Linked DNA regions of Alligator mississippiensis. The protein of the gene in region 3 purifies or fractionates together with the protein of the main gene of each other region. This does not show direct contact. Links are inferred from orthologs where the notes say so. Each region holds a gene or a part of one and is shown on either strand. Other genes may lie near its edges.

Evidence for each region.
Region 1: the proteins of CSNK2B (region 3) and NKAP purify together in Homo sapiens (co-immunoprecipitation; 3 studies listed by BioGRID and IntAct, counting the BioPlex papers as one, with this or other methods). This does not show direct contact. The link is inferred for Alligator mississippiensis from reciprocal best matches to the Homo sapiens genes CSNK2B and NKAP.
Region 2: the proteins of CSNK2B (region 3) and CEP170 purify together in Homo sapiens (affinity purification with mass spectrometry; 3 studies listed by BioGRID and IntAct, with this or other methods). This does not show direct contact. The link is inferred for Alligator mississippiensis from reciprocal best matches to the Homo sapiens genes CSNK2B and CEP170.
Region 4: the proteins of CSNK2B (region 3) and NKAPD1 purify together in Homo sapiens (affinity purification with mass spectrometry; 3 studies listed by BioGRID and IntAct, counting the BioPlex papers as one, with this or other methods). This does not show direct contact. The link is inferred for Alligator mississippiensis from reciprocal best matches to the Homo sapiens genes CSNK2B and NKAPD1.

What each region holds. Positions count from the first base shown.
Region 1 is NC_081831.1:72,523,311-72,530,396, forward strand, and holds the start of NKAP (NF-kappa-B-activating protein), read left to right. Parts: upstream 1-4,074; 5' UTR 4,075-4,102; coding exon 4,103-4,386; intron 4,387-5,134; coding exon 5,135-5,215; intron 5,216-5,752; coding exon 5,753-5,826; intron 5,827-6,011; coding exon 6,012-6,125; intron 6,126-7,086. UniProt on the Homo sapiens protein: Acts as a transcriptional repressor. Plays a role as a transcriptional corepressor of the Notch-mediated signaling required for T-cell development. Also involved in the TNF and IL-1 induced NF-kappa-B activation.
Region 2 is NC_081824.1:159,685,417-159,692,888, forward strand, and holds the start of CEP170 (centrosomal protein of 170 kDa), read right to left. Parts: upstream 3,005-7,472; 5' UTR 2,868-3,004; exon of another isoform or gene 2,799-2,867; intron 1,577-2,798; exon of another isoform or gene 1,415-1,576; intron 1-1,414. Other genes in the region: SDCCAG8 (serologically defined colon cancer antigen 8), read left to right, coding at 3,639-3,705.
Region 3 is NC_081834.1:58,329,446-58,336,836, forward strand, and holds the start of CSNK2B (casein kinase II subunit beta), read right to left. Parts: upstream 3,003-7,391; 5' UTR 2,895-3,002; intron 2,158-2,894; 5' UTR 2,147-2,157; coding exon 2,075-2,146; intron 1,778-2,074; coding exon 1,675-1,777; intron 849-1,674; coding exon 733-848; intron 627-732; coding exon 551-626; intron 175-550; coding exon 1-174. Other genes in the region: GPANK1 (G patch domain and ankyrin repeat-containing protein 1), read left to right, coding at 5,076-5,659, 7,082-7,391. UniProt on the Homo sapiens protein: Regulatory subunit of casein kinase II/CK2.
Region 4 is NC_081839.1:31,775,327-31,782,285, reverse strand, and holds the start of NKAPD1 (uncharacterized protein NKAPD1), read right to left. Parts: upstream 3,006-6,959; 5' UTR 2,902-3,005; intron 2,706-2,901; 5' UTR 2,705-2,705; coding exon 2,636-2,704; intron 2,628-2,635; exon of another isoform or gene 2,173-2,627; intron 1,376-2,172; coding exon 1,275-1,375; intron 107-1,274; coding exon 1-106. Other genes in the region: PIH1D2 (PIH1 domain-containing protein 2), read left to right, coding at 3,073-3,376, 4,037-4,282, 4,618-4,889, 5,633-5,779.

The DNA.
Region 1 (7,086 bases), on a different chromosome or scaffold from region 3:
ATCTGTTTGCACCTTCCCAAATCTGAAAGTCCTCCCTTTCATCCTTGCCCGTAACTCTTTAATTTTTCGTTAAATCGAGGAGGCATTTTAAGATGCAGTTTACATATGAAGAATTGCTTGAAGAACTTTATGTTGTATTTAAAAAACAAACGTATATTGGGCGCCTTGCACAATATGGGGTGTTTGATGGACAAGAACTGGGATTCAGGTAATCTTGGAAGCAAGAAGATAAAGATGCAAAAGCAACCGTTAATTTATCGATAAATAAATGCTTCAAGAAAAAATAATTTTTGAGGGGAGTTCTAATTATCATTATAAAGTGCAAATGTAAAGAATCAAATTATACGGTCTCTCAGAAAGAAGGAAAAAATCCCCTACAATACAGTGATAAAAAGACGACACATCTACATGTGCCCCTACAGCGCCATTGTTACTGCCCCACCATTTAGTGCTTCCTTTTGGAAGTATTAAACGACGGTGCGAGAAAAGTCCATACCGTACGGTGCTGGCGGTGCACAGTTATTTTTAGCCGCTACGTTGCTGTAGCAACGCGCTATAGCAAGGGAGCATGTTGCTACAGCAACATAGCTGCAACATCACAGTTTGTGTCCGCCGACACTACATCGCCATACCGTGTTGCTATGGTGATGTAGCGTGTTGCTACGGCGACATAGCATCTTGTGTAGACACACCCAGAAAGTGTCAAATGAAGCCATCTTAAGAGCTGTTTTCTCCTAAAAGAACTCAACGGAGAATTATTAGGGAATGAAGAGCTCCCTTCAAGGCTTGATGGGTCAGGAAAGTTGGTAGAAAAAAATTGTAGTGATAAACATTTATAATTTAAAAGAATATAAAAAATGTGATAAGGTAACGAGACAGAAACAAACCCCCATGCCCATGTTGGGACCAAGTGACATTTCAGAGGTAGAACCCTTAGTAATAATCCAAGTCTGACAGCAGTCTTATCTCAGGAGCATATCTCAGGATACAAATATGGTATCCAGGGAAATATTTTGATTCTGAAAACACTAGCAGACAGTAAAGCACTGATTTCCATCTGCCACCTACTTCATGCCCACTACTGCAGTGTTTTACTTAACAGTCAACTTTTTATGATTGCAAACCATGATTCAACTCATTAAAGTCTATGGGTGGCTTTCTATTGACATTAATGGGAACAAGATCAGACCTACCAGCTTTTAATGTACAGAGTATAAAGATTATATACCTCATCTGTGTAAAAATGCTTTGAAGCGCTTTACAAATGTTGGCCAGCTAAGCATCTTTATCTTCTATTAGAGACTAGCCAGGAGCACTAGGTAACTGAGGTCTCACGGATTTGTAATGATCGTGAGGCATGACAATACTTTCAGCAATGACAGAGCTATCCCCACGTAGCCTCATAAAGACAGATAACACAAGACTGTCACTCACAGCACAGCTCTGCGATCCCTCCCTTAGAACAAGTCATTCTTACATGAGAATATATTTTTACCTATTTTAATATACGTTGTGATTAGATTTCCTGCCACTTCCAGATGCTGCCCATAACACGCACAATGGGTGTGGAAACTGGAACAGTTTTCCATCCATGAACTAGCTGTTGCATTTATGCCTTACTTAATTTAGATCTATGTAAAGTGGCGCATGCCTTACAGTAAGGAGTACCATTATGAAGTGATTCTTTAGACCTGATGTTTACTAGATGTTGGGACAAAGCAAAGACTCTTACCCCACACATGTTTCTTTAAAAACATGGAGTTTTTTCTGAAGAAAACAGGTTCCATAAAGATTTCTTCCCTAATGTTGTAAATGAAAGAATGCTAACTCCACAGGGCAAAGAACTGCTAAAATGTGATGTTTGTGACATTTTGGATTATGACTACATTACTGATGCCGAGTGTATGATGCTGCTGTTTTGTAAGGATTAAAATAATAAAGAGAAAGTTAAAAAGAATACCCACACCTTCCGTGGTTTTCCATCTAACTGTTAAATCTGGGCTTCTATGGATTAATGAAAACCTCAGGGAATTTTGTGCCAGTGGTTTTTGTGCTTCAGTGCTGCTGTTCTATACGACTGGGACTGGCTGAAAGCCTCTGGTAACCCCAGGAGTGTTTACACCATTTGCAACAGCACTTCCCTGCATCGTGTCTCCACCCCGATTGGGAAAGGCCCCATTAGGATCAACAATATAAATCAGCCTCTGCAAACCATTAAACACTGATGAGCAGTTATTCACACAATAATCAAACTAAAGCTAATTCAACTCCCCTTACAGTCTGGCCTTGACTTTTTTCCTGCAAACACCAACAATATTATTAGTCAATGCTATTTGTGATGGTGGGATTTCTGTAGTGCTGATACCTCCCTTAGAAACAGAGTCAGAAAAAAACATCAGATAGAAACCATTTTTGGTTACATCAGCTGGGTTTGGCTCAAAGTTGCTCTGGAGATGAAAGGCTCCACGCGCCTAATAACTCCCCTTAGCCATCCAGCTCTCTGAATGGCAAATATAGGAAATACAGTAAATTCATTTTTTAAAGCCAAAGGTGCTTAATAACCAGCCTAGCTGTGTGTCTGCAGTGTATAGGAACATGCAAATTACCATTTTTTTTGGTGGGGGTGTGACTGAAGGGAAGTGAAAGGAGAATTGTTGCACCTTGCACTCCCACGTGCAAGTAGGAAGATTCAAAGTAATTCTGATTTTTTGGGAAAGGGAATTGCAGGGCCATGAGCTGTCCACTGGAAAAGTGCTGTTTTCCCTCATTCTGAGGCCTGTTCTAGTTGTGGACAGCTCCACAGATCCCATGGAGCGGAGTACAGCTGGCACAAAAGGTCTCGCTCGGGCAGCTTTTATTTTAAGAGCAACTTGAGAGATTAGCATTTTGATTCTCAGCCCGACTTGGCCTCCTAGGGAGAGTCCGGTGCAACGTGCTGCTGCACGGAGGTGGTTACGTGCACAGCTGAAGTCAGGCGGTGTGGCACCTTCGGCGTGAACTGCTTCAGACAAGCACGAGCTTTTGTAGGCACGACCAACTTCGTCACGTGCAAGGACCGGGCTGGCGGACTGAAAAGATTTTAGGGGTGCACATAGGAGCAAACGGAAATGTTTCCACGTGAAACGTGCTTGGAGAAGGAATCGTTTCAGTCGTGACCGCGGGGTTGGGGGCGCCTACGTGTCACCCAGCTGCAACATCAGACGCGACGCGAGGGCGCGACGAGGGGCGCGGTGAAGCGAGGCCCCGCTCCGAGAGGCTGGAGCGGATCACAGACGGCACAGGGAAGCGGGGCTGGAAGGGACCTCCAGAGGTCACCTAGTCCAACCGCCCGCCCGAGACGGGACCAGCCGTCTCCAAACCATCCCGCTCACCCCGGCACCCGAGACGACCGCCAACCCTGACGCGACACGAGATGCGGCACCCCGGCCTGCCGCGGGGCCCGGGGCAGCCGACGCACGCTCAGGAGACCCCAGGCCGCAGAGGAGGGCAACCCCCCCACGCCCCCGGTCCGTACCAGGCTGACCAGGGGGCACAATCCTGACCCCAAACGTGGCATGGCTCCAGCGCTAAGCGGAGGGGCCGGACCCTGCGGCTCGGGGCCCAGCGGGAGCATGGGCCCAGCCTGCTCGGCGCCTCCAGCCTGGGGGTCCAAACCCCCTCACACAGGCGGGGGGCCCAGCCAGGCCCACACCCTGGGAAATCCCCAGCGCCCGCACAGGCCTCGCCGCCCCCTGGAGCCCCCGCCCGGGGAGGGGGGGGATGGGGTGCCCCCTCCTCATCGCCAGGGCAACGGGCGCCTCCTACCTGGGCCGTCGCCCCGCTGCGCGCTCATGCTGCCGCCGTCGCACGCGGGCCCGGGAGCGCGAGGCCGCCGCCGCACAAAGGAGCCGGCGCTGGGAACCCGCCGGGAGCGCCTTGTTGCGCGGCGGAGACGCCGCAGGGGAGCACCCGGAAGTGGAGCTCCCCGCCGGCCGGAAGGCTTTGGCGGTGACACCTGGGACGGCCGGAAATGGGAGAGCGGGGGTTCCGGTCCAAACCGGAAGTGGGCCTGCCGGACGGGTTTGCTGGTGCGCCACCCGGAAGTGCGCCCCGGGCGGCCGCCATGGCCCCGGCGTCGCGGTCCCGCAGCCCCGCCGCGTCCCCAGGTTCCCGGCGCCGGAGCAGCCACGGCCGCGGCTCCTCGCCCAGCCCCTCTCCGCCCCGCCACAGCCACGGCCACGGCCACGGCCGCCGCTCCCGCGAGGCTTCCAAGGCCCCCAGCCGCCGACAGGGCCGCAGCCGCAGCCGCTCCCGGCCCCCGGCCTCGGCTCACCACGGCCACCACCACGGCGGGAAGCTGTGGCCCGAGGACTACGAGAAGGAGAAGGAGGAGCTGCTGCGGCAGAGGCGAGCGCGGGCCCCGTCCCCTCCCCCGCCCGCCTTAAAAAGGGAGCCCCTGGGGAGGGAGGCTGCACACAGGAGCCCTCCAGGGACGTCACCCCATTAAAGCGAGTGTCCCGGGGGCGGGGGGACAAGGGAACGGTTTCCTTGAGCAGCGCGTGCCAGAGAGGAGCCCGCAGAGGTGACGAGCGCACGAACGTGCAGCCAGTCTCGGCTTGTCCTCCCCGGGGCCGCGCTCCTGGTCTCGCAAGGCGCAAAGCTTTCTTGGGGACCCACGCGCGTGATAAAGCCACTTCTGCGATTTGTTTTGCACTGGATTTGTTTTGCGTTGTAATAAATAGCGTGTCTGAAATGACTCATTTGGACGATTGCTCCAAATTCCTGAACGGAGCTGTTGTGGTGTGACCAAAACGCCCGGTTTATTAGGCTGCACAAAAAAACGGGCGTGTGCCTCCTTCTAGGTCTGCCTTGGTTTTCAAGACAGATCGGCCTGTTTTTGTACTGAAGACAGACCGACCCCTTTGAGGACTGAGCAAAACAAAATTCAGTTGAGTCCTGTTCTTAGATGTAGTGTTTGGCTGTGGAATTAAAAAACAACGTGAAGTGTTTCCATTGAAGAAAGGGTGTCCCCTCATCATGTCTGGCCTGGGAGATTAGAAATGCTAGCATGCAGAGATACAAACAACTCCGCTTTTGAATGTACATTTGGGAAGAATAGTACGTGGGAATTTAATGCTGATGTGGATCTTCACAGGAGACTAAATGAGAGAGAGAGAATTGGAGAACTGGGAGCACCTGAAATCTGGGGGCTTTCACCAAAGGTTCCTGACCCAGAGTAAGTAACATTGTCTTGTGGTTGCTCCCCCTTCTTTCTAGGACCCTTGTGTGTAGTAGTGTCCCCAAATAAAGCTATTAATAATTTAATTACTTCAGTATATTTATAATTTCTATTGTGTATCTTATGTCAAGCTAGAATAAAACTTTACTTACTATGTCAGTTAAAAACATTTAAGTATTTAGTTGACCTAATTCTACTCACTTTGGTTTTCTGTTTGTTTTGCTTTTTTAAGGAAGTCCCGTTACACACATCAAAAGATCACTAGACTGATATGATCAGTTCATGATATTTCATATAATCCCGAAACACCCCTTGGAGAAGACGCTCATATGTTGTCAGTCAGATTAGGATTCTTTAGTAGTGTTTTTCTGAAAGTGACTTGTATATTTTAAATTGGCTGCTTAATGGTTTAATTCATGACTGACTCTGACTCAGTCTCTGAATCTATACACATTTGGTCATGTGCTTGCTTTTGGATAATTATATGATCTTTGCTTTAGATCATAATAAGTTAAACTCTTTGTTTCTTCTCAGTTCTGATGAGCATACTCCAGTGGAAGATGAGGAGGCAAAATCTAAAAGCAGCTCTTCAGATTCCAGCTCAGAAGGTATTTAATTTTTACTGTCAAAATAGTTTACATATTAATAGAACTTCTCAGGCTAGTGCCTGATCGTGTTATTTGCAGAGAAGTTCATTGACTTCTTGTAGATTCGGAAGCAAGCATGATACCAAGATCAAGAAGGATTTATGAAGCTAGACTGTGCTCATCTGGTTTGTAACGCTCTCTTTCAGAAGAGAAAAAGAAGAAGAAGAAAAAGAAAAAGAAGAAAAAATCATCAAAAAGGAAACGCAAAAAGCATTCTGAGGACAGTGACAGCGAGTCCGACTCTGAGCTGAACTCCAGTGGTAAGAAAACAGCTTCTCTTGGTGTGTATCATCTGAAACCTTCTCCTGTATGTTTGCAGTCATGGTCAGTAATGCGCCTGCTTTTTGTTTGGTATCTTCCTGATGTCCTGAGGTTTTGTTTCAGTTGCTTAATCCGTGTTGTGAAGAATAACCTGTAGGAGATTTTGGTAATTGTGTCCATGTCTGCTTTCAACCTTAACTACTTCGTGTTCTGTTTAAGAATCAAGTGTAACATTTTCCTAGTCCCTCTTCCTCTTCTGATTTCCTTACTGCCTCTTACATGTGGAAAAGCCTGTTTTTGCACTAAGCGATCACTCAAATCTTTCCTTAATACACCTGTAATATAGAGTCTTTCAACTTATTACAGCAGTCTCCTAGCGCAGAAGGATCATAGCTCCAGCTTCAATGCATGAGGTTTGGCCATCAGGGAATGATACCCTGGCTGTAATGTAGGCCATTAATTTTCAGGTCAAGTGTGGTAGGAACTGGAGCAGACTGTGTGATACTACATGTACCTGCTTAAGCATTATTTCTAGGGGTGCCCCGATAAAGATTTTTTGGTCAATACCAATGGCTGATTATTAACTAGCCCTATTGGCCAATACTGATCCGATAGCCAATGCACAGCCCAGCAGCTTGAAGAGCAGTGTCCGGCTGGTAAGTCTGTGGGGAGGAAGGTGTCTGTGGGAAGGAAGGGATGTGGAGGGGCCAGATTGAGGCTGCCACAGTGAAGGAGGGAATGGGGCTGGAACAGGGGCAGGTGCTGTGTAGCCAGGGTAGGGCAAAGCCACAGGCCGGGGGTGCAGGGTGGGGAGAGAGGGGGTGGTTCTCACTACTGTGCACACCCCTGGGGGAGGTATGTGCTCCCCAGATTTGTGCATGGGGTGAGGGTGAGCTGCCCGTTGCAGACTTGGGGTCAGGGGATGCATCAGGCTCTTCCCGGCAGAGGGGTTGGGCTGGG
Region 2 (7,472 bases), on a different chromosome or scaffold from region 3:
TTACTAGCCAAAAGCTCATGCTAAAAAAGGCAAAGAATATCTGACTGCAAGATCCAGGGGCAACCTCTACCACCACAACAAACCCCTTGCTACTAGGAAAAGGGAGTACAGTGAAATTCCTAACAAGCAGTATTCTTAACTAATTACTTGGTACAGTAATTGCGTACAACTTCTTTGGTATCACTGACTTCCAATTAACAAATTAGAAACTTCATTTCCCAAGAAAGGACATGAAACCCTTACTTCTCCATACTTCTAATAATCTCCTACTTATTCTAGTGTATGAAGATCTGCACTACTACCTTCAAGAGCTTCTGCAAGAGGGAATTCTCTGCTACTCTTTCCATCTTACCAACCTTAGCTGCTGAAGCAGAGATGAGAATTTCTACACCCTGGTGTTCTGCTTCAGGAACAGCTTCAGTGCCTCTCTTTTACCCGTTAAAAGATTTCACAAACACCAGAGATGGATATGAATCTGATTAGTTTCACAGTTTCTTAAATGGTTCTGAACAACAACCAGAAACTAATCAGATCCACTTTAATTTCATGTTTTTTGCCAAAGCTAAGAGGAACAGCTGTGACACTAGAATGCACTATTTCCAAACTGAGGAAAACAGCTCAGCATCAGTTTATATTAAGCAAGTTAGATTTGCATGCACATAGGCAAACATTTGAATACAAGATTGGATTCTGTAGCTACAGGTGGACTTGGCTTTATTCAGGTGCTAAGGGAAGTTTCGATATTTGTCACCTGTATGTAAAGAATTCAAATGTTTCCAGTTCACTCTTTTAACGTGCGATTCTTTTATCAACAAAATTATGAACTGTCCTAAACTGCTATGCATAAGCAGTCTTTTTAACAGCTATAAATTCAGCAAATTTGAAATCAAAATCAGACAAAGATGGAATTCCACAATAAAGTTTTTAAAAAGACAATTTTCAGAGTCTAGCTTCACATTTAAAGGATGCAAACAATTTATAAAGGTCTATCTGCACTTAAAGTAACTGATATTATTACAAGCAACTTCTAGGCTACTGAAAGATGAGGGGAAAAAACTCCCTTTTGTAGATTGCTTATTTCATGCCCTAAAAACAAAATCTTACACTTCCCCAACTTCAGTGTTTTCCCACCAGTGACTTTCCCTTGTTTGTGTAAGCCTTAAACAGAGCAAAAGCTGAAAGAAAAACATACGTACAGTAATTGTTTCCTTTAAAAACAAACAAACCCTCAAATATTGATTGGGAAAAATCACAAGTATACACCTTTTTTTTTTTTTTTTTTAAAGATCAAACAGATTTCACATTTACAGTGCCTTTTTTGGCCAGATATATTATTCAGCATTTAGGCAAAACCGAACACTCTGGGAAGCTAACATGGAAACCACAGTATATGTAAGCACGTGTTTTCCCTTACAGGTTTCTCTTGGACTTTGGGTCCTGATCCTGCATGCCATTTAAGAGGGGTAAATCCATTCACATAGTCCTATTGCTCTGAGTGGATCTCCATGGAAATACAGGTGCCCACCTGCATCAAACAGCATACAAGACCAGGTTTTATTCTCTCAACTCAGTTAAATATTTTATGAATACCTCTGCCTTCACAGAAGGTGTTTACATGACACTGGATCCTCTCCATCAACACTCCTTCCACTAAGGGTCATAAGAGAGTTCAGCCATTCTGCATCCTCTACTCAACTACACAGTAAATACACCTTAAATCTGTAAGGAAAAGGTGGCATTGCTGTTGACTCGCATGTCCAGAATATGCACGCAAAATGACATCTCGAAAGCTGACAACTAGCTCACTGCCACGAGCTCTCTTTTGTCGAAAGCCAGCTTCCCTCCACGTGAGACTGGAACTGTGGGACGTTCTTCCTGCATTCAGCATTTTCAGAGGATCACAGAAAATTCAGGTGGGAAGGGACCGCAGAAGGTCCAACCCCCTGCTCACACCAGAACAGTCCCCAACTAAAGAAGAGCTTGTTTTCATTTCAAGCAGCAACATGTACCATCTTAACATAACACACACTGAAATCCGGTGAAAAATAAGAAACACGATGAATTTCCTCTCAGGAGGGAGGGGTGGTCTTAGCAGCCCCTCCCCATGCCAAGAAAACAGACTGACAAAGCAGGGGGGGTGCGGCCAAAGAGCAATTTTTTCCAATCCAATAAAAGATATCACATCTACCCAAAGAACGGTGGCTGCCTAACAAACACCCCGGATACCAAATGGGATGCAATTTTGGAACCAGGGACACAACTGCGACCAGAATCCCTCCTCTTCCCTGCCCCCCTGCAGAGCCACCAGCCTGGGGCTGCGTGTGGATGAGATCACAGACCACAGCTCATCCTCAGACCTGTCATCTGCCTCTCAGCCCAGACTCTGCTTCCTCTTGCTTCGGGTTGGAAAACCGCCATCACGGCATTTTTGATATTTTTAAAATTATTATTCTTTTGCACCGCTCGTTACCCCTTCGCGGCCACTCCCAGCACCTCCCCGCCCCTTCCCTCCAGCCCGGCCGCGACCCAGGGTGGGGGAAGCCCCCTGGGAGAAGGGGTGGAGGGGGGGGGGTCTCTGCCCTCCCCTTCCAAATGGACAAGGTGGGGGAAGGGGGCGCAGCTCCATTCATTCAAAGAGGACGGAGCTGCCGAATAAGGTGGAAGGGGGGGGATGAGGAGTAGAAAATGAACCAGCTGCCGGTGAGAGGACGCCGCCCGTCCACAATGCCCCCCCGGCCTCGTTGTCCCCCTCCCCCTCCCGTTAACGGTTACGGGGCTGGGCGGGGCACCGCACTCACCCCCCGTGGGAGAACCGCCGCGTGGGGAAGGGGCGCCCGAGTGCAGCCGCCGCCGCCGCCGCCACTTACTGCCCCACCACCCGCCGGACCGGCACTGAAGCTGTTCGCCGCGCTCTGACGCCAGTAACCGCCGCACCGTTATTCCCCGCACATAGCGGGTAACGGCACGGAGCACGGCGCACCACTGCGCAAGCGCCACCCGATCGCGCGCACACAATGCGGAGGCTCGGGAGGGGAGGAGCTCAGTACGCAAGCGCGGCCCCCGCCGAGCGCGCCCCGAGGAAGCCTCAGTGCGCAGGCGCACGCTCCCAGGCAATGACGGGCTGAGGGGCGCGTGCGTTGTGCATGCGCCACAGGCAGGCAGCGGAGGAGCAGGGGGAATCTGCCCGCCGCTTCTCTAGGTCACGACTGAGCATGCGTCAAATCTAGACCCTGAGGAGAAGGGGGAGGGGAGTGAGCACGCGCAGATCGGGTCGCGCATCCAACAAAGGGGAAGCGGCGCTGAAGAGTCTCTCTTTGTAGCGGGAGGGGCGGCTCGCGGTGGATGCTGGGAAGCGTAGTCTCAGGGGGACTCTCTTCGCGCGTCAGGGAGAGGTGAGGGGCGGGGCCTCGTGCTGGTCGGTTAGCAACGGGCGGCCAAGCGGCTCTTGGGCGGCCTGCCGGGAGTTGTAGTTCTGCTGGGAGGGCCTGGCTGCGGGGCGCCCCGGGGCCCGGAAGGCGGCCGGACTACAGCTGCCGAGCGCCCGCGCGGGCCGGGAAGGGCAGGAGAGCAGGGCTGCCCCTCGCCTTGGAGACGGCAGTGGTTGCAGGGGGCGGCGGCGGGAGCCGGACCTCGGCCTCATGCGGGAGCCCCGGGGAGAGCCCGAGCTGGAAGAGTCTCTGGAGCGCTACCACAGCCGCCTCCGAGGTGAGCGGAGCAGCGGGGAGGTGGTGGTGGTAGTGATAGTTCTAGTTCGACGGGAAGTTGCGGGGTTTGGAGCGCTTCTCAGGTGGGCCCCAGCCCCCCCCCACCCACGCCACCCCATGGGGCGGCTTGGGGCCCCCCAGGCCCCTCACCCCATATACCCCCCCTTGCCCCACACACTAGGGGGAGGGGGGCAGCGGGGACACTGGGTCAGGACTGGCCATTGATGTTTACAAATGAGTTCAGAAAAGGTTATGAATCACAGCTCTGCGCCACGTGCATGAGATCTTGCCTACCTTTTGAAGGTAGTTCAGTATCCCTGTGCTTACAAGGGCTCTGATTTGAAAAGTTATTTTCTGCCCTCTAAATAGTCATCTGTGCCAGCATAAGACTCTTCATCCCCAATGTAACAACACCTGCACTGCGGCTTTGGCTGAAACAGCAATGTCAGATAGGACCATGGGGGAGGGGGGAATATTCACAGCTCTGACCAATAAATCTAGAATCAGTATGAGGGACGCGTGACTTTTCCCAAGAAGTCCTGTTTTAGGCTTGTAAAAGTTGACGAAAAGTGGAATCAGAGCAGAGATCCAACCTTTAGTAGTTTTTGAGAGGGCTTTGTAGAGGACTGTGTTCTGTATTAAGCCTGGGAATAACTTGAAATGCTGGTGGCCCAAATCCTTGCTTATGCAGGGCATGTCTACACATGCGCTCTAATGCGTGCGTGGTAGGCTATTTTACTGCATATTAAAGCATCACTTAAACGTGAGGTTGATGCACAGGAAATGTGCATTTTCAGAGAGGGGGCTCCCATACACACCCTACATACCTTCAAACCCTCCCCTGCGAATCCTACAACCACACCCTCCCCCACACAATCGCACACCCCACAGATATGGTACCCACCACACACCCACCTGCCTCTGGGGGAAGTTCCACTCACTGCTACACGCACAGTCCCCACAGCCCCCCACAAACTCTATACCCACCCACACATCCATACATTCCCACAGGCCCCCCATACCCACCCAACACCTAAATACACACACCCCCACAGCTCCCCACAAACCCCATGCCTACCTACCCATACCCTGCCACACCGCTCCACCCCCCCCACAATCCCCCCCCACAATATACAAGAGTAAGACTTCATTTTGAGCTATTATACAATTACTTCTATGTATACGGCACAAACGCACACAAATCAAGACAATTTTTTTTTAATAAAATTAAAATATATTATTACGGATGTTTGATTTTTAGTGTATAATTCGTTTTGATTTTTTTTTTTCGGTTCCAAGCCCCCTTCCCAAAAGGAGTACTTCCAGGAGCAAGGGGAGGGACTTACGGTGGCAAAGTTCAGAGGTTGGGGTAGGACTTCCAGTCCCAAGATGTTGACCAGGGGATGGGGTGTTTGTGATGGGTTAGGGCCACTCTTGAGGCCCTCGACAGCTCACCAAAACTCATTAAGTGCCCCTCCAGCCAAAATAATTGCCCGCCTCATATTAAGAATTGTCACTAAAATCCAGTATGCCCTTAAAATGTTTCTTGGTATAAAGTGGGATTATTTTTACTTTCTTTTTTAGAATCTTGTCCTGTACTTCACCCTGAAAATCCTTTACATTTAAATTAACTAACTACACCACTTTATTTTCTACTACTTCATAGATTCATAGATGTAGGGTCGGAAGGGACCTAAGTAGATCATCAAGTCTGACCCCTTGCTCTGGACAGGAGAGAATCCTGGGCTCATATGACCCCAACTAGGTAATTGTCAAGCCTCCTCTTAAAGACCCCCAAGGTAGGAGCAATCACCACTTCCCTTGAAAGTTGGTTCCAGATCCTAGCTGCCCTGACTGTGAAATAGCGTCTTCTAATGTCCAGCCTGAACCTACTCTCAAACAACTTATGGCCATTATTCCTTGTTACTCCAGGGGGTGCTCGGGGGAACAGGGCACCATTCCCCGCTGGTCTCCCCTGGTAAGTTTCTAGAGAAGGTATAAACAAATGATTTAACCTCTACATTTTGAGAGAAGCCTATCCTTTCCCAACCCTGCAGTTAACACATTTGTCAAGCATATGTCCTTTACCTTCTTCATTTACTTTGTTTTGTCTTCTGATACCATAGTGTGTGTGACTCTGCCAGTCTCAGTATTCTGCATTTTTTTAAACAAGGGTGAACCCTGTCCCCTTGCTACCCTGCCTGACATTGGGTCCCTGGCTTGAGAACCCTTTTTCTTACAGTTAGTCGATTTTAATGGAGATATCTGGCAGATCTCTGGGGAGCTAAACAACCAGCAGATGTTTTGAAAAGCGTGTTCAGTGTTCATGCAAACAAGACAGCATTTCATATCCCACCAGTATATTTTATGTAAGCTGCTTGTATAAATTGGTATGAAAAAGCAAAGCTTACAGGAAACGTGCATATTGTCAGCATGACCTTCCTCTTGCCTTGAGTATTCATAATTCAGACTCACCGCTGTTCACTTCTTGAGTTATTTGGTTTATGCCATAGTTATGCTTGTTCTCAAGTGTTCTGACGGGAACTTCACCAAAAGTTGCTGCTGTTTGGTGGTATCCTTCATTCACTTGTTGATAGTTCTTGATGGTTCATTCATATCAGCCCAGATGTGGCTGGGACTCGCACTCACTCACTGCCTGCCTTTATCCTGTGTTTCAGGAAAGAAATGAATCTTTTCACATATAATGATTAACAACAGAAAAGTGAGTGTACAAACTGAGTCATGCATGTTTTTCATTCAAATATAGAAATATCCTGTGTTTTCCAGACAACGTAAGTGCTATTATGCTTTAAGTTAATTTATTCCTGACCAGTACTACTGGTTGCAACTCTGAACAATATCAAGGTTCAGATGTGCCTTCCTCTGTTTCTACTTGGATTCTTTCATAGTTTTATAGTTGTTAGGGGCTGGAAGGGACCTTACAGATCATCAGGTCCAGCCCCCCTGCACTTAGGCAGAAAGACTGCTGCAATCAGATGACTACAGCAAGATGGGCGTCAGGATGCTTGCAATCCAAGTGTAGTCTGCCACATACATACTGGTATAAGCACAGGTATCTACTCGCTCATTTTTACAAGTGATTCTTCTGAAATGGAAGCATTGCTTGTCATTTACAAACATGATTGTATCAGGAACTGTTTTCATTACACAATGCTTCTTTGCCTAGGATGATTCTTGTTTTCTCTCTCTTCTGCATTCCTGCCTCATGATGTGCATGTTGTTGAGGATGAGTCCCATTAGGTTTCATTACAAACAATGCAAATCTAGCAGTATTTCTTGTCCTTTCAGATTTGTGTAACTTTAGATCAGTATCCTCCCAGACACCACCCTTTTGTACTTGTTACACAAAATCATGTTGTTTGGGTGCTTAACTTTTTAGTATTAAAGCTATCTATATTCATGGGGATCACTATGTGATACTGGACTATAGGTTACTTTTTAGTAGGAACATTTTTAGATAATGTGACAAGTTTAATGGAGGTCACCTTCAACTGTATTCTTTTGTCAGTTTAGGAGTGCCAGTGCTGTTGCTTTTCAGAGTTCTGTGAGTGTGTTGGTGGTCTTTTGCAAGTGCTTGATCCTTAGGTTAATTATAGATCCACTGTCTTAAAAACAAGTTTAGTTTTATCATGAAAAAGTGTGTGAAGCAGTTAATGTATTGCTTATTCAGTGTTGTGACTCAGATTAGATTAGCCTATGATAATATTTACTATTCCCTTTTATTAAAAATGTCACCCCCCCGCAATA
Region 3 (7,391 bases):
TAGCCGGCCGCTTGGGCCGGTACTCGGGGTGCACCATGAAGAGCATGTGGGGGAAGCCAGTGCCAAAGTAGGCACCATCCGTGTGATGGTGGCGTGAGGACTTTGGTGTGTAGACATCCATGCACTTGGGGCAGTAGAGCTTCACCATGGCCTCGCCAGGGATGTCTGACAGCCCTGGAAGGGGGCAGGGAGAAGAAAGGGAGTCAGAGAGAAACCAGGTGTCCAGGTTCCCAGCCCTTACCCCACTCCAACACCTGGAGAACCCAGGCTCCCAGTCCCCCAGCTCTAACCTCCCAATCCTGACTCCCCAACCACAGAACCCACCCCCCCCCAAAGCTCTCAGCCCTGACTTTCCCCTCCTGTCCTACAGAACCCAGGCATCCAGGCTCCCAGCCCAGTTTGTAGCCCACCAGCCACACTCCCTTTCTACAGAACTCAGGTGTCCAGGCTCCCACTCCCATCTGCTCCAATACCCACAGCCTCTCCCCTCCCCCACTTCCAAGGAACCCAGGCTTCCAGGTTCCCAGCTCCCCCTACCCCCTGCACCTACCAATGGGCAGCATGGGCTGGTTCTCACAGTAGACACGGGGGCAGTAGCCAAAGTCACCCTGCTGGTACTTCTCGAGCTGGGGAAGAATAGAAGAGCTGAGAGATGTGAAGCAGGGAGAGGAGGTAGCTGATGCCCTCCAGGGGGTGCCAGCTGGCTGGGGAGTGGGGGCAGAGCCAGCTCACCATCTGGGCGATGCCACGGTTGGTGAGGATGTAGCGGGCATGGATCAGGCCGTAGAGCATCTCAGCCGCCTGCTCGATGAGGTCACTCTGGTTGGGGTTGTCCTCTAGCTCTTCATCTGGGTGTGGCGGGAAGGAAAAAAGTGCCATGAGGGTTGCCAACAGGGTTGCCCCCAAGCAGGTGAGGCTAACAGGGCAACCCAGGGTAACAGATTCCAGGCTAACAGAGCTGCCCATGGTTGGGCCTAATGCAGCAGGTGCCAGGTGAGGCCTGTGCCCCTCAGACCCTTGTGCAAGGACACGTACGTGCGCATGCACAGGTTCTCAGCCCCCACCCCGGGTGAAAAACCCCTAAGTTTCCCCACGGTGTTTCCTTCACTAATGTGTCCCATGACTCCCTTGTGCGAGGCCCGAGCATCGTACCCCAGGCCCAGAATTCCCCACCACCTTGTGCAAGGTAGTGTGGGAGGACCATGTCCTTCTGGCACCAAAGCACACACAGCAGCTCCCCGGGCTCCAGGCTACTGGTGTTCATGAGAGCATGGCACGTGCTTGCGCAAGGAGAGGGAGAAGCAAGCTACACGTCGGGCAAGGGGCAGAGGCTCAGTGCAGGGAAGCCTGCGTCATGAAACATGGCAGCACGAGAGCTCTGCCACTGGCCCTCGCACCACCGTGAGGCAGAGGCTAGCCTGGCTCCTGCCCTTGTGCAATATGTGCCCCCACTCCATGCCCTGCCCCACGTGAGACACACAGAGTTGAAGCCTCATGGAGAGCCTAGCTAGGCTACATTTCACGCCAAAAGGCACCTCTGTATGTGTGAAGGGGGAGGGCACAAGTGTGCAACCTGACACCGGGCCAAGTTGGAGAGGCACAGGAGGGCTGAAGGAGGCCTGGGGACCCCCAGAAGCACCCCGCCTCCCAGAGGCCCCTGCTCCATGTCATCACCTGGCTCCAAATCCAGGATCATGTCCAGAGCCTGGCGGTAGTGGGGGACCTGTTCATTCAGCCCCGTCAGGTTGAACTTGTCCTGGATGTAGTCCTCATCCACCTGAGGGAGAGAGGAAAGCAAGGCTGGGACCCAGGCTTCCGGGCTGCTTGTACCCTTCCAGCCCTCCATCCCCTCCCAGAGAACCCAGGTGCGGGGGCTCCCAGCCCCCCTGCTCTCACCTCCCACTTCCCCTTCACTTCCCAGAGAACCCGGACGTCCCACTCCAACTTCCCAACCTCTGCAACCTTCCAAGAACTGGGAGAGAACGCAGGTGTCTCGATTCCCAGCCCCGCCTGCTCCAACTCTACCAGGCCCCACATCCCATCCAAAGGACCCAGGCACCCGCACCCCACTCACCTCGCAGAAGAACTCGTTGCCCCGCAGGCCACAGAACCAGGAGATCCAGGAGACCTCTTCTGAGCTACTCATCTTCCCTTCCTCTGCCGGGGGAAGAAACTGTCACAACCCCACCAGCCCCTTCCCAGTCGTGTAACGAGCACGGCAGGTCTCAACCCGGAGTCTCCCAAGCCCTAGCCCAGGCAGCTCCCAGCACAGCCCCTCCCCACCCAGCAGCGGAGGTAAACTCCCAAGATGCAGCTGGCTCTGGGGTGGGGGCCAGGAATTCAGGCTGAGTGTAACAGGGACAGAAGCTGGGGCTGGCTAGGCGCAAAGAAGGGCAGTGCATGGAACGTACACCCCCACCCTCCACACACCAGTGCGGGAGAGCTGGGAATGACCACACGGGACTTGGTAATGGGGACAGGAACTGCAGCTGGCTCTGGGGTGGAGCAGGGCTGGGTGTAACAGGGACAGAAGTTATGGCTGGTGGTGGGGGGAGGCTGAGAGTCATTCCCAGCCCCTCCCATATCCCTGTACCCCCCCCCTCACATCTCCAAACTCAAACCTGTCTTGTGTGTAGAGGAGGGGGGTAAAATTCCAGTGGGGGAGGGGGCACATATCCCTGCCCCTCCCCAGCATGAAAAGAAACCCCCCGCATCAAGCCCCTCCCCCAACACCCACCTCCAGCCCCACCCCCACCTTTGCCCTTTCCAGCCCTTCCACTCCCACCCAGACCCCCGCTCCAGCCTCCTACCCCGGCCCCCATCCCCTCCCCTCCCCCATCCTGCCCCCACTCCTTGGTCACGTGGGGACCCCCAGTTTCTCCCCCGCCACTCACCGCGGGGCCTCAGCGGGTCCCCTACACCGACAAGGGCTGCCCAGCGCCCAGCGCTCAGCTCCCAGGCCCTGTGGTCGGCCGGGCACTGCGCATGCGCCCCTGTAAACCCCCCGCCCCGCGGCGCGCCGGGAGATGTAGTGCGGTAAGCCAGAGGCGCAGCGGCGCAGCGCCGCGGCTCCGACTACACTTCCCAGCGGCCCCCGCGCGGCGGTTTAAAGGCCAGGAGAGGAGAACAACTTCCGGGCAGATCCCCGTCACGTGGGCGGCTGGAGGCTCTCCACGGCCCGGGAAAGCTGCGCCCGTGGTGCATTGTGGGAAAGAGCGTGAAGGGGCGTGGAGCGGCCCCAGAGCATCAGGGGAGTTGTAGTTTTCGTCTCGTCCAGGTGAGCCCGTGGAGGGCGTGGCCTCAGCAAGGGGGCGTGGTCTTGTTTCAAAGGGCCGGGGCCGCCGAAGGCAGCCTAGCTCAAGGCCACGGAGGGGCGTGGCCACAAAGAAGGGGCGTGGCCTCCGGAGAGAGGCGTGGCTTGGATTTAAAGAGCCGGGAGCAGATGGAGGCATACCAGGTTCAAAAAGAGCAGCCGAGGGGCGTGGCCTGCGGGGAAGAAGGCGTGGCTTAAAGGCCCTAGAGCAGGAGCATCCAGGCCAGAGGCGAGGCCCCTGGGGGCGTGGCTTATTTGGAAGGGGGCGTGGCTTTGCTCTAGGAGGGTGGCATTTTGAGGTTCGCCAGCGCTCCCTGGCGAGGAGGAGCGAGGCCTCCCCAAGGGGGCGTGGCTACCGCGCCTCAGGGCCCACCGGGGGGGCTGTGGCATCCCAGAAGGGCGGGGCTTCACCCCCGACGCTCCGGGCAGGCCCTGTTGGGGAGCTGAGGACCAGGGACCCCGGGTCCGGGCCCCGCCCTTTACCTTCTCTCAGGCTGCTGCTGCTGCGCCGGATCAGGCCCCGGGCCGCCTCCATGGCCGCCCTCTTGTCCATGGGCCCCCCCTTATGTTAATGAGCCCGAGCCCGAGCCCCAGCTCATTAGCATGGTTCCTAAACTCCCTTTTTGTGTTCATATGCAAATTAAGCCAAGCTTTTAAATAGAGTTTCAACCTTCCTTTAGGCTAGGGTGATCTCAGATAGTTCATGGTTTTTTGTTCTGAATTTGAATCTGGCGTTCCTGCCCCATGGGTAGAAGTGGTCCTGCTTCCAACTGGCCCTTAGCGCCCCCCTGAAACGGGGACCTAGACGCCTGGCTTGGAGAGCGGACACCTGGCAGACCGCAGGGGGTTCTGGGCTTTATACAAATAAGCCGGGGGGCCGCTCGTCCGGATTGGCTAAGCAGCCCGGGGCAAGCGGCGGCCTCGCGCGGGAGGGGGCCGTTGCTGGGAGACAGGCGGGGAGGGAAGCGGGGAGGACTGCGCATGTGTACTAATTGCCATGGGGAACGGGGTGCTGCTGATCCGCATGCGCCGATTTCTCCTCGCTTGTCACGTGAGTGAGTGCGCCGGTGCTCTGCGTCTCCCACCCGCTTTCTGCACGCGCATGCGTAGATTCCAAATCCTTCGCCAACCACCGCGCGCATAAGCCCCGCCGTAGGTTTTTACGCATGCGCAGCAGCCCACCCGCCCTCACTTTCGCCGGGTGCTGCGTATGTGCGCGCGGCCCGCGGGAGCAGGAAGTGGGGTGGGCGGGCTGCGCAAGCTTCGCGTGTCTCTATGGTGAGTGCTGCCGCGGGGGATTCTGGGGGGTGCCAGAGTCCGGCCAAGGCCTAGGGAGGGGGCAGGCCCCGGGGCGGGGCTTCTGACCCCCCAGCCCTGCCGGTGCCCCTCACTCCTGACCTGCAGCCCTTGCCCCAGACCCACGCCCATCCCCCTGGCCCGCAGCCCCGTGTCCCGCCTCAGCCTGCGTTCACCCCCCCCCCCAGGCACGTCTCTGCCCCGGTGCTGTTGCCCTGCTCACCCTGATCTCCCCCTTTATCCTCACCCCTTATCTGCTGGAGGCCCACAGCGCCTCGCCGCCCTGCCCTGGGCACTGTGGGCCCTGTCAGGACCCGGAGTCTGTTTCTTTCCCCCTCCCATTTGCTTCCCACCCCAAAACTAGTCTCTCAACTTCACCAGCTGACTTCAAGTGTCTCCTCCTATAGGGTGAAGTCTCGTGGTACACCCTCGTCGTCCTGCCTGCTCCCCGTCCCTGGCCTCAGCCATGAGCCATGGCGTCCAGCTCATTGCCTTCACCCGTGCCCGAGAGGATTCAGACTTCTGGAAAGATGGGCAGCTCCGGAAACAGGTTTCCTCTGCCCGGGAGCGCCGGGAGGACCCCGGAGCAGGCGAGGAAGCCCGCAGCTTCTATGAGAGTCTCCTGGCTCCTGGGGGCAGCGGCAGCGGCGGCGGCAGGAGCCCTCCACGGAAACGTAGGGCCCCTCGGAGGCGCCGTGAAGCTCCAGCTCCTCCCCCTGCGCCACCAGACCAGACGGATGACCGCAAGGGCAACCTGCTGCTCAGATCAGCCCAGGAGGGCAACCTGCGGGGCCTGCGGAGGCTCCTGGAGAAGGAAGGCTGCAACATCAATTACCGGGACGGTTTCTACTGGACAGCAGTGATGTGTGCGGCCTACGCCGGGCAGGCAGAGGCTGTGCGGTACCTCCTGAGCCGGGGGGCCGCCTGGGTGGGGGTGTGCGAAGCACAGGGCCGGGATGCCATGGATCTCGCTGAGGAAGCTGGCCACGAGAACGTGGTGGAGGTCTTGCGGGAGTGTGAGACGGCGCGGCCACCCACGAGGGAACCCAGGTGAGGCCCCATATCCTGTTATCTGGGGGTAGATTAGCGCTGGGGGTACCAGGAATGGAAGAACCCCATGACCAGGGTTGCCAGTTGTCCATAAATTTACACACAAATGTATTTACCCTGAATTTTTACTGACTGTCCTTAAATTCAAGTTCTTAAATTAGGGACATTTAGTAAAAATCTAGGCTAGAAACTTGAATTTAAAAGCAGCCTGGATTTTTCATGCCAAGCCTTTAAATTCAAGCTATTTAGCAGTAAAAATCCAAGCTAAATGCTTGTCCATGAAGTCAGTGAATAAAACTGAGCAATCCCTTAAACAAGCAAGCACTGGCTGCTTCCTGAGCCTCTCACTGAAAGAGGTTAGACAGTGGAGCTTGAGGCAAGGGTGGACAGAGCACAGCAGCACCACCTGGTGTCCAAGTGCGAGCACAGCACACTGTGGTGAACCTTTTGGTATTTTGTAGACCCCTCCCCTTAGCCACATGCTGCTGCTTCCTTCCTGTTCTGTAGCGCTGCTGGGTTGCAGGTGGGATTCTTTGCGGGTTTGTGCTGGGATGAGGGAAGTGGGGCTGGTGAGGATAGAGCTGAGGGAGGGATTGAGGGGGCAGCATGACAGGAGCAGTCAGGGGTGCCAGGATGTAAGGGGCAATGTTCCCTCTAAGGTTTGGCAATCTGTGAGCAATCGTGACTGGGAGTGTGCGGCTACCTCAGTGTGCCCACCCCTCCCCCCTCCTACAGCAGCCTGTAGCCAGGTTGGGGTGTCTGGCAAGCGACCAGATGCAAAGCTGGCAGTGTCAGCAGGGGGAGTGTCGGTGCCCGCTTGCTACAGAACTGGGTGTCCCACCCCAGGCCGGCGCCCAAAGCCATGCCCCCTACTGCCCCACCCCCCGTTGGTATGCCACTGTGTGCGTAGCATTAAAAAGTTATTGCCCAGCATGATTTTTTATTGTGTGTGGCCGTGCGCGCGCACAACTTAAAAGGAACACTGGTAGAGAGACCCCTGTGGTGTGAAACCATTGCTGCAGTCACACAGGGCTGCTAAACCCAAAAGGTTTTTTCACTGACAGTAAACAGGTGGTGCATCAGTAAAAAAGTTTGTCTATCAGTAAAAAGCCCATTACCCAACCTCTAAGCCAGCCCATTCCCTTGCTGTGGGGCTAGATCAGACCTGGCATCCCCTAATGAGGCAGGGCTCTGTGCCCCATTTCCTCCTCTGTGAGCCAGTCAGGACCCCCATCCTGGAATTAGATCAGGTCTGGTGTCCCCTGGAGGTGAAAGGCACATACCCCATTCCCCACCTTCCCCACCCCTTGCCTTGGGGCTGGATTGGAGCCAGCACCCCTGAGAGGGGGGAAAGGCACCTATCTCCATTCCCCACCCCTCATTCGGAGCTCTGAGACATCTACCCCGTGGTCCCTTCCTCAGGAGACCGCCGGCGGAGAGGAAGTTCTGTGCCGTGTGCCAGGCGCACTACAGTGAGGACACTGTGGAACTCCATGAGCGCTCGACTGCCCACCTCTTCAACCGCCGCGACCCACTGCCCCCGACCCGCTACCACATCCCAGAGACCAACGTCGGCTTCCAGCTCATGGTCAAAGGTGGTTGGGACCGCGAGGCTGGGCTGGGGCCTGAGGGCTCTGGCCGTAGATTTCCCGTTCAGACAATCCTCAAAAGGGACCAGAAAGGCTTGGGCTTCCGGAGTGACCTCAAGCCAAAGGTCACACACTTCGATGCC
Region 4 (6,959 bases), on a different chromosome or scaffold from region 3:
CCTAAGGAAATCCTCTTCGATCACATCAGGAATGTGTTCAAAGTTCTTTGTCTTCCAGTCAGCTCTTTGGCTTTCTTCATCGAACCCATCACTGCGCATCCGACTGCTGCCGAAAGAAAACAAGTAGTCTTCAGCAGGCAATTCTGAGGAAGAGACTTTCTGTGCAGTGGATCAATTCAGGACGCAAAGGGCACAGAGGAAGAAGCACAGATCTAAATGTCTCTGACTATCAACCCATGCAAAGTATAAGTTACATCTCCCAAGAATAGACATAGACGGGTTCCACGGACCAGCCCAGTGATTAACTAACCACCTGCGCTATCAAAGCCGCCTTCCACCATAATTTCTCAATGCACTTCCAAACAATCTGAAGAAACGGGATAGGATTACTTCATTCACAGCTCATGCGCAACCACCTCTGGAACAGATTCCTACAGCTGCTTAACAGCATGCAGGACAATGGGTGTGATGAATAGGGCATCCGGCAGAAATCAGGAGAGGTCAGGAGGCAGAAAGTAACTATTGGAGTTGGAAGTTGGTTAGCTTGAATCTAAGAAACAATGGTGCCAAGGCTTCTAATGATCTCAGGGAGCCTGCCAAGTGCCAAGCCGGCATGGGGATCAGGCCAGACTGAAAAAGAAAAGCAGAACTGAGTCAGAAAACCACTACCTGCAGCTTTGCAAACTCCTTGGAGGTCTCTACAGATCAATCACATGAGGCTGATCTTACTTTAGCTTATGAGACTTTCAGGCATGCCCATGATGGCTCACAATGAATCTGTTGCACTGACTCTCCACAGTTTGCTGCTATTTTAAAACCCAAAATTAAGAGTGGTCAAGAACTATGGCAGATTTACACTGGGCAAGATCTTGGGTCTGAACCACTGTAGCACACACTGCAATAGCAGTGCACAAGCACCAAGGAGGTCAATCAGCTTAGGACAGCACAATTTTTCCTTCAATTATTCCATCAACTTTCTAACTACTTCCAAGCCATATTATAATCTTGTTATTTCAGGGGCCCCAGCCAATTTAAAGTTACACAGCTGTAGAGCTGCATGCCTGGATCATCACACACACGCAATCTGAAACTTCAACGGGAATTTGGTGTCTTTCAGCGTGTGTCTGTACCCTGTAGGGCCCACAGAAGTGGTCAGAAGATACATCTGTTGCATTTACATACAGGTCACTTAAGTGTTTTGTAAATATTCATCACTACTGCACTACAGAGGCTGCTGTGGTCTGGTTACAAAGTGAGTAATTTTATCCGCCTACCTGGATGTGTCAGACAAGATTCTCCTTTGCTTCCTCTCGTAAGTCTCCTGAGTCTGTTTCTCCCACTCTCTAATTTTCCACATTTCTGATTCTTCCTGGATCTGGAAAAAAAAGAAAAAGGAGACAAATAGAAGTACCTCATACATGTGACATTGAAAATACAAAGCACAAAGTATCACCTCTTCAAAGAGGCAATTCCAAAGTTGGATGAATTTCAAGCAGAACCACCCTGCTACACTGATGCAAATAAGGCTTTTTAGTCATACTGTATTAACTAAAAGGTGCAACATTACAACCACGGTGAACTGCACAGAAAACTAGTTGTTTTGTACAGTCGCGCCGCACTGTTCACATACAGGCCTCGCTCTGCATTTCGATTTCTGCAGGTTCCCTACGTACATCGGCTCTCGCCATGTTCAATACAACACACTGAGGCACACAACTTCTCTCAAGCATCATGTTGCTGGATCCAAAGACAGCAGCTGCGATAAGCCTGGAAATTCAGCGTCCAGCTGCCTAAAGCTTTGACATAACTTTGGTTCATGTTGCATCACCTCACGAACATAAAAAGACAAATGAACGGACAAGCATTCTTTGCCTGGCTTAAAGCTCAAATAAAGGAGTACGAAGGGCCCTGCCCCACATTCAAATGAAAGCTGGACAGAAACCAGCTCTCGAGTTGTTACACATTTTCAAGCACTAACTTTATAGCTGCTTGGCTCTTTTCATAGCTGAAGAGTCATTGTTATCAGGTGGGAATTACTTTGCTGGTCTAAGTCTATCGTGGTTAACCAATGAATAGCACAATATATGCAACGTGCATATAGCACAATATGTGCAACGTGTAGCAGGGACTTACCAATCTGAAAGCAAAACCGAATACAAACGTGTCTTGTACCTGAGCTAAAGGAAACTTGCGAGCCAAAGAGCAGAGCTGCCGCGGGGAAGCTTCCCTCTCACATGGGACACACGAGGTGAAAGTCACCCCCTGCCCTCAACAACAGCCCGCGTGAGCCCCCGCGCTAGAAGCCGTCTGGGGTCCAACGCAGACATGGCAGCTACAGCGATGCACGGGGACGCGCGGCGAAGCAGCAGGAACGAGCGGAGGCGACAAGAGCGCTGCGGCGGTTGAGCTGACATCCAAACTACGCTCTGCCGCAGGCCCCAAAGACCCCAGCGCAGACAACCCGCTTCGACACGGCTCGGCGGCAGCCACGTGCCAACGGCGTCGCGGCCCGGAAAGACCCCGGCACCAAGACGGGGCTTCGGGACCAGCAGGGGAGACGTTTGGGCCTGGGGGGAAGGCCACCAACGCCGCGGCGGCAGCTGGGGGCAGCTCCCGGGTGGGCGCTCGGCTGTACCTTGTTGTGCGCGTCCGTGTGGCGGATCACGTTCCTCAGCAGCACCTTGCCCAGCGGCACCCGGGACATCCTGCGGGGCACGGACACGGCTCTGCTCAGCGCCTCGGCCCCGTGCCCCTTCGCCCTGCCCACCCTTCTCCCCTTCGCCCCTCCCCCAGTCAACCCCTGACCCCCACTTCACCCCTCCCCTTCACCCCCTGCCCCCCACTTCACCCCTCCCCCTTCACCCCCCACACCCCCGTGTCCCCCTCCCCCACACTCCTCACCCTGCGGGGGCGGCGAGGCCCCGCGCGCTGCCCCGCCCGGAAGTGCGCCCCCGCGAAACACCTCCCCCGGAAGTGGCGGCCTGGCGGGCGAACCCGGAATCCGGGTGGCACCGGAAGCGGGCCGGCCCCTTCCGCTTCCGGCGGCGGTTGCCATGGGCACGCGGGGCCGCCATGGCGGCGCAGGGCCTGGTGGCGGAGCTGTGGGCGGCGCTGGACGAGCTGGCGGAGCGAAGCCCCGAGCGCTACCGCCGCCTCGTGCGGGGCCCGCGGGACAGCGCCCCGGAGCCGCGCCTCTGCCTGCGCACCCGCCGCCGGGGGCTGCACCCGCCGGGCCCCGACGCCTCCTCGCAGGGCTCGAGCGAGAAGCCGTTATTCGTGAACGTGTGCGGGTGGAAGCGAGTGCCCGCCCCCCGCTCGCCCGGGCACCCCGTGCCCGTCTGCGCCGGCCGCCTGCAGGAGGCGTCGGGGGAGGCAGGTGGGTGCCGGGCGCGGCCCGTCGGGATCTCCTCGCCTCGCCTCTCCTGGCAGCGGCACCAGACGCAGCCCCAAGGACCCGGCGCGGCGCCTCGAGACCCCGGGCGCAAGCGGCTGCGGGACGTGTCCGGGGACACCGTGGCACGGCACCGCTCCTGTCACCGCATCGTAGCGGCCCTTTGGGGACCGTCTGCTTGCGCGCACGTTGCAGCTCCCGCGCGCGGCAGGTTGGGGGCGCTCAGCCTTCTTGGAGCCGCGTGCCCCCGGCGGGCGGCCAGGGGGTCCCTGCTGCGATCGGCGGCTCCCAGGGGCACGCGTACCCCCGGCTGAAACCTCCCCCCATCCCGCGTTAATGACCTTCTTTAATCCCCGAGTGACAAACGCTTGGCTGCGTCGGTATTTTCTACAAGTCGGCTTTCTGAAACACGCTCCTGTCTGTCTGTATCTGCTCTGGGGGACATGGGTGTAAAGGCCCACGCAGTTAACGAATAGCACCCACCGTGTGGGACCGAAGAGTGAAAGATACAACTAATTATTTTAATTTGGGGGGGGAGGGGATGGCACAGCTTGGGGAAAAAACAGGACGGGGTGATGCGAGGGTCAATGAAACGAGCTCCTGCTGAGAAACTGCTCAATGCTGGTGTCACTCGCTGTTTCCTAGAGCGTTACAGCGTGGTGGATGTCGCGTACAACCCCGCCGTTCTTCAGAGGGGAGAAGAGAACGGAGCAGAACTGGACCAGCTGATCCGGCTGACGCTTAAATTCATCGAGGAGCGTTACAGCCTGACTCTGTCCTACGCCTACCACATTGCACCGTTCAAACTGAAAGGGAGCCTGCAAAGGATGAGGGAGAGTCTGAGAAGAGGGCAGACGCCAGGACCGTGTCCCCAGGAGCAGGCGAGGAGCGGTGAGTAGGTGGTGGCACGAGATGGGAGAGAGGCTCAGCTCCCCCCTTCAGTGCAGCCCCTGCCAGATCAGTTTATAAAAGCCAGTTCCCACTCTCAGAAATCAACAGGTGGTTGAAGCCAGTCTTGGCTGAGCTTCGAGCTCGATCCTGGTGGAAGCTTTAAATGCCAAACCACTTACATACAAGTAGTTAGGTTACCAGCCCAAGCTGCTGAGTTCCTGACTGCAAAACTTACATTTAGCAATGGCACAGTTCTGTCGCTTGGGGTTAGATTAGTTACTGCCTACACGAGCCTCTTAGAAATGAAAGAATAACTTCAGTAAAACATTTTTCAGATGGGAAAGGGCTGACGCTTGACCAGCTGATACATAGGGCAAAAGCGGAGGAGAGCCAGGATGCTATGCTCCTGCTGGAGGAGGAAGTCACGCCGTCTCAAGTGCCTCTGATAGAGGAGATTGCCAGTACAGAGGTGCCGGAAGAACTCAGTGCACCAGTCTATGAATTGACCGTCGTGCCAGATGCTGACAAGAAACCCATAAAGATTGAACTGAAGGTTGAACTGCCGAAAGTTAGCTCTGTTTCAGAATGTGACCTGAGCATGTCAAAGGCAAGTGGAACAGAAATGACTTCACAGACATCAGGGCTGCAAGGGACCTCAGAAGATCAGAGTCCAGCTCCCTGCCCCAGGGCAGGAAGTCAGCTGGGGTCAAAGGATCCCAGCAAGATAGACATCCAATTGACTCTTAAAGGAGTCCCGAGTAGGTGCTTGCACCACCTCTGGCGGCAGCCTGTTCCAGGCCTTGGGGGCTCGGACTGTAAAGAAGTTCTTCCTTATGTCCAGCCTGAAATGGTCTTGGAGAAGTTCGTGACTGTTTGACCTTGTCATCCCTTGGGGATGATGATAACCTCGTGTCTTCTCTCAGTTGATTCTAAACGTTCCCAGAAAACCTTTGGGCATTACAGATGTGCTTCGGGAAGGGGGTGGAGGGGGTGCTTTAATTAGCGAGCCGCAATAATTAAAAATGCCCAACTGTCACGTGTATCAGCATCCCTGCACTGAAAAATGCAGCAGGGCGGTTTGAACTAAAGCTCATCAAACCACCAGCTTTAGTTCAAAGCGCCCCCGTTGCCATTTTTCATTGCAGGGACGCTGATGCGCATGATGCTGGAGGCTGCTGCATCACGTTAATTTCCGTGCTCCAGCAGACTCGATTAATCGAATTTGCTCCGATGAAGTGGATTTACAGGATATCAAAGCAGCCTTGCTGCACATCTACAGGATCCCCCTTCACTTCTAATTGAGACTATTAAGTGCCTGCATTACTGAGTATTTTTATTTGCCTCTTTTAGGATGATCTAGTCATCGAGGTCCCTGAGAAATACAGATTACAGCTGGATCTGCCAGAGTTAATCAATGAAGAAGCAGCTACAGCCACATTCGACAAAGGGAAGCGTGTGTTGCTGATCACAATGCCAGTTTCCCAGACAGAATATTAGGGGCAGCAGGTTTTTTAAGGATGGGAAGGTGGATGGCAAATCTCTTACCACTGGATACAAATTGCTATCACTCTTCTAGGAATCTGTTCCTATTTAAATGTTAAAGAGTAATAGAATGTAGGGTACAAACAGAACAGGTAGCCTTAGTCTAAAGAGATTTCAGTGTTAAAATTTGTTGTTTTTTTTAATTCTTCCTAAAAGTTGTAAGCATTGAAGGGTTATTCACAACATTTATTTTAATACATGTAATACTAATTAAAATCATCTACATACAAACCTTGCTGTATAATTTGGTTTCCTCATAAGAAGAGAGACTTATCTTTGAAGAAATGTTCTATGCATTCCCCTAGCTGCTCCCACCAGCATTTTTTCCTCTTAAAAAAGTAGATTTAATGCAGTTAAAGATGCTGGACCCAAAGCTTTTTAATTAATAGACTGAAGAGGCCTAGGAGAGACAAAAATACAGGCTTCCTGCTTTTGTTCCATGGCATTCCACAGGGGATATTTGTTTACTTCAAAAAGAATAGCCTATTCAGTTGTTGGCTGCCTAAATGGTTGAGGGCTATGGGGAGCTGTGCTGAGAGGATGAGCCTTAACCTACTCCTGATCAAGCATGTTGTGATCTCAGAGCTAGACAACAGAACAGCAGTGCCCCAGAACTATCTTGCCAGTTCAGAGATGGACTGTTTACAGCACTAGGGGCCAGCCTTTTTGGCATGTATGCCACAGATTAGCCCTGTATCTTGAGTGCCACTCTGATTCCCTTCCCCTGCCTGATCAGCTACTCTGCCCCATGGTCCCAGCCTGAACTGCTGCTTTAATTTCTCCCTCTCCTATCTGTCACTGCGCTGCCTGTCCCCTTGCTGGTCTGCCACACACGCACACACAGGCTGCCCATGAATAACAGAACTCAGAAATACCTGTGAGTGAAGATGTCACTATTAAAGCAGCCCAGCATCTAGGAAAGGGGTCTAAGATACTAGCTAGCATTCAGAAAGAACATAAACCAACTCAATGCGAGTGATGAAGATCGGTTCTGTGGTGGCTGAGAAAGGGAAATAAAAAAATCAGTTTTCTTCTGAAGATAAATGACCTCCTGATGTACTACAGGGTCATTTTCCAGTTTCTCTAAATGAGGAAATAAAACATCCATTTCTTGACTGTTTGTTTGGCAACTTTA